2 linked regions of the Rattus norvegicus genome follow. The protein of the gene in region 1 interacts with the protein of each later gene in a pairwise test. Links are inferred from orthologs where the notes say so. Each region holds a gene or a part of one and is shown on either strand. Other genes may lie near its edges.

Region 1 (4,254 bases):
TCTGAAAGCTAAGCGCTGAGCCACGCCCCTAGCCCCTCATTGGAGTATTCTACGCTGTCACTCTACCCTGAGCCACGCCCACAGGCTGACGAGGATTCTTAGCAGAACCAGCTAGGGCTCTGTTCTGTTTTGAGACGATTGCCTATCTTTTCAAAGCTAGTACTAAATTATGATCTTCTCATCTCAGCCTTTGAAGTCCTTATCATTACAGGCTTGTCCTATCACATCTGGGTTTAACGTCACCCATAATCTGTAGGTTTTTTGGTCACCTCTACTAAACGCCCCGAGCCACTGCTGTCGCCCCTCCTCCACCTTCAGGATTATGGTCCACCGCCAGACTGTTCCTCTCACAGGCATCAGATGGCGCAAGTGAACACCTGCAGCAGGGTTCCCCTCAGAACCCACCACACACAAGAACACAGTTGTAAATCCTGCCCAGCCTTCAGCACCCTGCGTACTGTGACCTTCCCCCACGTGCCTTCACCTCTCCCACTCAGTTCCAGCTACAGTGATCTCAGGAGTTGTGCTGGTTCGTGTGAACTTGACTTCAGCTAGAGTCATTCTGGAAGAGGGACCACAATTGAGAAAATGCTCCCCCAATTGGACCTGTGGACATTTTCCTGACTGACGATTGATGGGGAGGGAGGGGCCAGCCCATTGTGTGTAGTGCCATCCCTGGGCAGGCTGAGATAAGAAAGCAGGTTGAGCAAGGCATGGAGAGCAAGCCAGTAAGCAGCACACCTCCATAACCTCTGCCTTCAAGTTCCTGCCTGAGCTTCCCTCAGTGACAGAGTGAGGCCTGAGAATTTTAAGATGAAATAAATCTCTTCCTCCCCAATTGCTTTTGATTGTGGTGTTTTATTACAGCAATAGAAACCTTAAAACAAATCTGGCATAGCTCACACCTTTAATCCCAGCACTAGGGAAGCAGAGGCAGGGGGATCTCTGTGATTTCGAGGCCATTCTGGTCTACAAAGTAAGTTCAGGACAGCCAGGGCTCTGTTACACAGAGAAACCTTGAATTGGAAAAAAACACCACCCCCAAGATAAGATTTGTGTCTGTCTGTCTGTCTGTCTGTCTGTCTGTCTGCGGTGCAACTGACACAGACAGGGTCTGTAACCCAGGCTAACCTTGGACTCAGTCTACAGCTGAGAAGAACGTTGGTCTTAGCCAGGGCTCGCCAGAGTAGAGATTGTCCCTCTTGAGCTTCCTGCGTGTTAAGATCGTGGGGTGCAGACTGCCGGTCTCCCTTGCTCCCCCTCTCACCGCGCTGTCTTTATTGGTCACTTCCTTGGCACATCTGCCACTGCTCCACCCACGTCAGTGTCTACTCTCAAAGCAGGATCTGCCTCTTTCCCAGTCACCAGCTCACCTGTCTCTGCAGAGTCTCATTCTCTGCCTGGGCGTCCTGCAGTGAAGCCTGAGTCCGCGCCAGTTCCTCCTCCCGGGTGCCCAGGGCCAGCCGGAGCCAGGCGTTCCTCTCTATGAAGTGCGCTGCCTCCTGCTGTCCAGGTCCAGAGGCTTCTTCCTCATTACCAAAAGACCCCGGAGCTCCCGGGTCTCTGTCTTCTGCCTCCACTGGCTTTGAAAAGCTTAGCGAGTGGCGGCGCCAGGCAGCTACAACTGCCTCCAGGGAGCTCAGCCTGCACTTCAAGGTCTCATACACATTGGGTGCTGTTATCTCAGCAGGGCCAGTATCCAGAGGGGCTTCTTGCAGGGCCTGGTGGGCTTCCACCTCAGGCTCGCGCCGTTCTTCCGGGCTCAAGGGTAGGACCCCATGGGATCCCACATCACAATCCTCCTTGATCCTGTGAGGATAATCAGGAACCCTAGCCACCTGAGACTCAGCAGAGGCGGAGGGCTGACCCCAGGGTCCCTAGGAAGGCTGAGCAGGGACTGAGCTTCATGGCTGGAGGGTAAAAAGGAAGAGGAGAGAAGCGGGCAGGGGAAGCTATGGCAGGTGAGCAGCTGGAGGCAGTTGAGTATGGGCCCCGGCATCCTACCGGTTCCCAGGGCCCTGCAGGCTAGGACCAAGATGTTCCTGAAGCAGCTCAGGTTTAGTCTCGAAGCTCCCATTGGTGGTATCTACCTCCTCTGAGCTCTCAGCTACTGGGTCCAGCTCCCCCTGTGAATGACACTCCCGTGCATGTGCGGGTGCGTACACACACACACACACACACACACACACACACACACACACACACACACGGGCTCTTGGTCATCACATCCAGCTCTCCCTGTGGAGGTCTCCCCTGTACCACAACAGGTTCTGAGCCAAGCAGACCTGGGTTCCCAGGATCCATGGGCTGGGTGTGGCAGGAAGAGGGGCACACTTACAGGCAGAGGATGCCTCCCTCGCCGGCTTCGGGGTCGTGTGGCCCGGGCACTCATTACTCTTGTCACTACAGCCTGCTCTCAGTTCTTGCCTTTTGTTACCTTGGTATCCTTGTTTTTTGTTTTTTCCTGTAGGAGTTTTGGTTCGTTTGAACTGATTGACACATTTAAATATTTAAATACCTCTCCAATAGTGCCCACTGTTTACTTGTCTCCTCCTCCCCGTCACCCATCTCTACCGGGCATTCCTTTTCCCTCCGCTGTCTGAATTCATTTCTCTTATCTGTGCCCCCTCTCTTCCCTATGGAGGCATTGAGTGGTATCCTAAGATTTCTCCTTCTTCCCACGACTCTCTTAGTACCAAACTCCCTCACCCTGGGGATTGGCCCTGCGGCCCTCTTCTCTTCTTCTCCAGGGCACCTTGGGAAAGGTCTGAACTCCTAAGAATATCTCAGGCCATTCTGGCCACTGGCTACTGAGGCTGCAATGGCCAAAGGTGGCCTGGGAGAGGCTGAGAAACAGGAAGCTCCCTACCCTGATCACATGGACAGTTATTGTTTTGTTTCCTTCTCCAGGATGCCAGCTTCCTCCAGAACAGGAAGAGGATGGAGGACCAGGACCTTTGTCCCACTCCAAGATATCAGTATCCCCTTATCCCAGCCCAAACATGTAGTGCCTCCATTTTTATTTTGGATTTTCTGTGTCCCCCTGTTCATCAGGGCTCGCTCTAATGTGAAGGTCTTTTTAAAATTTTATTTTGTGTCTCTAAAAACAAAACTAAGAGAGTTGGCTCCAGCACTTGCATAGCTTTTATTTTTCATTATTTATCTTTGTCTGTGATGGTACTGCTTGTCTCCGAGATCGAACTCAGGTCGTCAGGATTGGCGGCAAGAGCCTGCACCTGTTCAGTAGCCCACAAGGTTTCTCTTCAACGAGACTGAACTACTGCATCAGGCCGTTGGAGTCACCGGCGACAGTGAGCTTGTCCACAGTGGCTTCTTTACTTTTTCTTTCCATTTGGTTTTCACACAGCGTCTCATATAGTCCAGGCTGTCTAAACACCCGATCTTCGTCTTCGGGCCTCTGGAGTGTTGGGATGACAGGTGTGCACCACCAGCTCGCATCGCGGAACTAGTGAATGAATACCAGCCCAAGTCACATAAGTAACTGAGAGGGCCCTAGGCAAGTCCAAGCCAATTCCTACCCCGTCAATCATCAAACGGCCCCGCCCAGCTCAATCTCTTGTCCTATCACAGCAGAGGCCTTGAGAACCTTAGTGTGATTAAGCCCGAACTACAAATTCCTCTCAGTTTTGCTTCAGTTCACCACGGGTCACACCCACTCTCAATACTACCCCTCCCTCTTCAGCCCCATTCCAGCCCGTTACACTCCAAGCTACACCCCTAGAACGCCTCAGCCTATCAGCTTCCACGTCCTGAAGGCCACTGAACTACATTTCCCAGAAGGTAGCACTTCCGGTAAGGAAGATGGCGGCTTCCTAGAGACCTGATTGACTGGCCCCGGTACCCAGGCAGTGGAACCTGCGGCGGTGTGAACGCGCGCGAACTTTGTGTCGCCGCGGTCTAACTTCGACTCGGCTTGCTGCAGCTTCAGGTTCGTTCTGCTTGAGAACTTGGGGGGGGGGGAAGCTTGAAGTCCCGAGACGCTACCCCGAGAAAGGCGCATCCTTTGCAAGGTTGGTCGGCTATTTGGGTTTCCTGTGTTTCCCCGGGAACCTGACCGGCGCCGCTTCAGGGGAAAAGGAGCTTTGGGAAGCTTCTACAGTGGATAAACCATATAGCTCTAGAGTTAGAGTCCAGCCTGGGCCACATGAAGCTGTCACAAACAAAAAGGAAAACGAACAAGCTGTTACTTCACCTGAGGGTGGTTCCTGGACACAGTGTCTTATGGGAGCATTC
Region 2 (3,500 bases), on another chromosome or scaffold:
ATAAAGGGTGACTATCAGTGCTAACGGGGCTAATGTTAGACGCTAACTGCGACAGCAGGCTCTAACTTGAGCTGCCAGTGCCTTTGGCGAGGGACACTGATCTGTCTCCCCGGTCACCAAAGCAGAACTTTCAGGTTCAGAGAGGGCAAGCTACGAACTCAAAGCCAAACAGCAGAAACCCAGCTCCAACAGAGGAACCTCTGAGCCTACTTATCTACAAGCCCCTTTGAGAGCATTGTGGGTCACACACTGTCCGTAGTAGAAACGTCTCTGTAAATGCTGGTCTGCTCCACACTCCCATGCTGTATTAAGTCGTCAGCAGTTTCCTGTTTGGAATCTGCCCTGGACCACCGTCCCTGGGCTCCCACTGGCACCTGCTTTTCACCTCTGGTCTTGGAGCCAGCGTTCTTGGAAACATCCGTAGCACAGGCCCCCCGCGGTTATCTGTGCCTGGGTTACTCTCTGCGGCCTGCCCTCCCACCGCCAGGACCATGATCCCAGTCTGATCCTTACAACCAGCAACCCACCAGGGCGTCTAAGCTTCCCAGCAAACTCTAAAGTGGATAGGGCTGGGAGAAAGGTGAGACCGGGGTGGGGCAGGCCTACCTTGCTCTCCAGTCTCCCAATCAGCTCTGCCAACCGGCTTATCTGGACCTCCAGCCCCTCCTCCTTTGGCTCCCCTATGGCTGAGAAAGAGAGACCCTGGAGGTGGGCGGGGCCATCCTGAGGGGGCGGAGCCCCAGCCCCTAGACTAGACCCCGGTGCAGATTACTTGGATCCCTTTGGAGGGCAGTGCCCACCCATGCTCTCTTACCCACAGGCAGGCTCTTCACTGGTTCCGGGACCACAAGCTTGTGGTTGGGGATGTAGGGAGGAGTGGGTCCTCCGTAGCGGCTCTCGTTGACGCCAGGACTAGGTTTGCAGTGGTCCTGTCTGCAGTGCATGAAGGAGAAACAGAATGTTGATGAGGGCACCCGTGTGACCAAGGCCACCTCTACTGCCTTCACTGGGCACTTACAAAGCATTGACTGTATCCTGAAATGTGCCCGGACCTACCCTATAACCCCACGTTGGCGGGATGGGCAGAGGGGCCTTCATTTTCTCAGAGGAGGAAAAACCATCCACGAGGCAGATGACTTGACCAAGGCCATATGGTCAGCTGCGGCATAGCTCGGTGCCAGACTCTAGAGGCCAGGCCCCTGTGCCCCTCAGGCTCATTTCCATAGCTGAGGTAAAGCTGAGCATCTATCTGGCAGACCTCACAGTTCATAGCTTCCAGCCACAGGCTGAGCCCAGGCTGAGGAGACACCGTGTATCTTCCCCCCTTCCTATCTCAGTAGAGGCCACTGTGCTATGGATGGAAGACCTAGTTTTGTGTCGGTAAGACCCCCACCCCCAAACAAGGTAGCAAGACAAAACGGAGCCTGGCTTGAGCTTCATCTTTCTTACCCACACATCCATGCACAAGACTCAACAGGCATGCTGTGCCCCTAGCACGGTGACTGCCACCCAGCAGGGTCTCCAAAACTGCAGGGTGAACAGCCAGTTCCTTATGCACAAAGGGAGCCTTGCAAAACCAACTAAGACTTACCAATCAACAGGGTGTGTGGGTGACACCCCCACACTCCGCCTCTGAACCCTTTAGCACATTTTGAAATCTGTCTCCTGTTGACCCCTGAAAGCTTAACAAGTCTTTCTCCCATGCCGAGGAAGCAGGCTCAGCTCCCTCAGCGAGACAAGGCGAGTGGAGGCTTTGAGCTGTGAATCACCAAATCTGTACAAACCAGCAACAAATGCAGTGTCCCTCGGACCATGAAAGGTCGAGTGGGAGGCCGCTCAGGCAGCAGAGTCTGCATAAAAGCTTTTCCTGGAACGCAGCGCCCTTGGGAGTTGCTCTGGGGTGGGGACACACGGTAGCCTCCCCTGGGGAACTCAGGGCCTGAAGCCAAAAGTGTTGATATGTGGGCCAGCATGAGGTGTCTGTGGGCGTGGAACAGATTTCCCATCAAGACACACCACCCACTCCTTCCACTGACACCCCAGGGTTATCCCCTCCCAGTGGGGACAGGCGAGTAGAACCACGGATGTAGCCATGCAGCGTAGGAAGGCAGCCAGGAAAATTGCCCAAGGCTGCTATCTATCCGCAGCAGGAGAAAAGGGGTGAGCTTGATTAAGATGATAATAACAAGTCAATAAAGGGGAAGTCATCTGTTCCTCGGACGGTGGCTGGTGACACTGGGGGCTCAGGATCGTAAGGCTGCTCACATAGGCAGAATCGTGAACCATTTTTTCCAGGTGCTGAGGGCAAACATTTGGCAACGGCATCATTAAGAGGCCCCTCACGGGCTGGAGAGACGGCTCAGCGGTTAAGAGCACCCGACTGCTCTTCCAGAGGCCCTGAGTTCAAATCCCAGCAACCACATGGTGGCTCACAACCATCTGTAATGGGATCTAACGCCCTCTTCTGGTGTGTCTGAAGACAGCTACAGTGTGCTTATATATAATAAATGAATAAATCTTTAAAAAAAAAAAAAGAGGCCCCTCACAATCCTGCCTGATGGAGGGCCTCACTGACCAAACTTCACTCGTTCAAACCCTACCCCACAGCAAAAAGAACATCCTGGTGGCACTGCGACTCTGCCAGGTACACTGAGGTTGTACCCAGAGAAAGCCAAGGCCATGACTTTGGGCTTCCTGACAACTGCCCAGCTGTGTGTGGGTCCCGTTTCTCCTTGACTGCTCCGAGCAGGAGTGTGCTCAGTTAGCTATAGGCAGCATGGAGTGAGGGTTGGGAGGGCTCAAAGCTGAGCAGACCCCTCTCAGCTAGAAAGACTGAAGTGACCCAGCCTGGGCACACTGCACCCACGGTGGCCATGAGAAACCTCTGGGTGCTTGCCAGCATACCTGGAGACCAAAAGAGCAACACCGTGCACTCCAAACCTCTCCAGAGTCTCCTTCAGTATGTTTGCCCTGCCTTCAATAGCTCCCTCAGTCTCTCCAGGTAGCAAGGGAGCCCTTGGAGACTCACAGGGTTCCTGACAAGAAGACGCTTCCCTCAGAAAGGTGGCATTTGTGTTTCCAACCTGCAGCCGGATCCCACTCCCCAAACTGGTTCCCAGCGTTCAGAAGGACATTGTTACGTGAACAAGAACTGTGGTAAGATCTGCAGCTCTCAGGAGTTCACATCCCATACCGGACGTTCTCCTAAGCACATCCTGTCCCACGTAAGCCTCGTGACTCAGGTGCTAGGTCCTAAGTTTGTCCTCAGATTGCAGTCAGAGAAATTGGGGAAACACACGGAGAGGTGCAGCAACTTGTGCACCCAGATCTGAGGGGGTACAACAAGTCAGGCTGCTGTGAGTACCCCAACAGGTCCCACGCACACACCGGATCTGGCTGGTCTGTTCTTCGATGGCTTCCACGGCGCTTTCCACAGAGCTGAGCAGCGACTGGATCTGATTGGCCGTCTCCTTCAGAAGGAAGCGGGTCACAAACTGGTC

The links.
Region 2: the proteins of Ushbp1 (region 1) and Necab2 interact in binary tests that used the Homo sapiens proteins (3 or more experiments, as listed by UniProt). The two-hybrid records come from large-scale screens. The link is inferred for Rattus norvegicus from reciprocal best matches to the Homo sapiens genes USHBP1 and NECAB2.

The regions. Positions count from the first base shown.
Region 1 is NC_086034.1:18,099,068-18,103,321, forward strand, and holds the start of Ushbp1 (harmonin-binding protein USHBP1), read right to left. Parts: upstream 2,801-4,254; 5' UTR 2,710-2,800; intron 2,465-2,709; 5' UTR 2,393-2,464; coding exon 2,339-2,392; intron 2,127-2,338; coding exon 2,005-2,126; intron 1,810-2,004; coding exon 1,374-1,809; intron 1-1,373.
Region 2 is NC_086037.1:64,426,999-64,430,498, reverse strand, and holds part of Necab2 (N-terminal EF-hand calcium-binding protein 2), read right to left. Parts: coding exon 3,388-3,500; intron 934-3,387; coding exon 815-933; intron 687-814; coding exon 607-686; intron 1-606. UniProt on the Homo sapiens protein: May act as a signaling scaffold protein that senses intracellular calcium.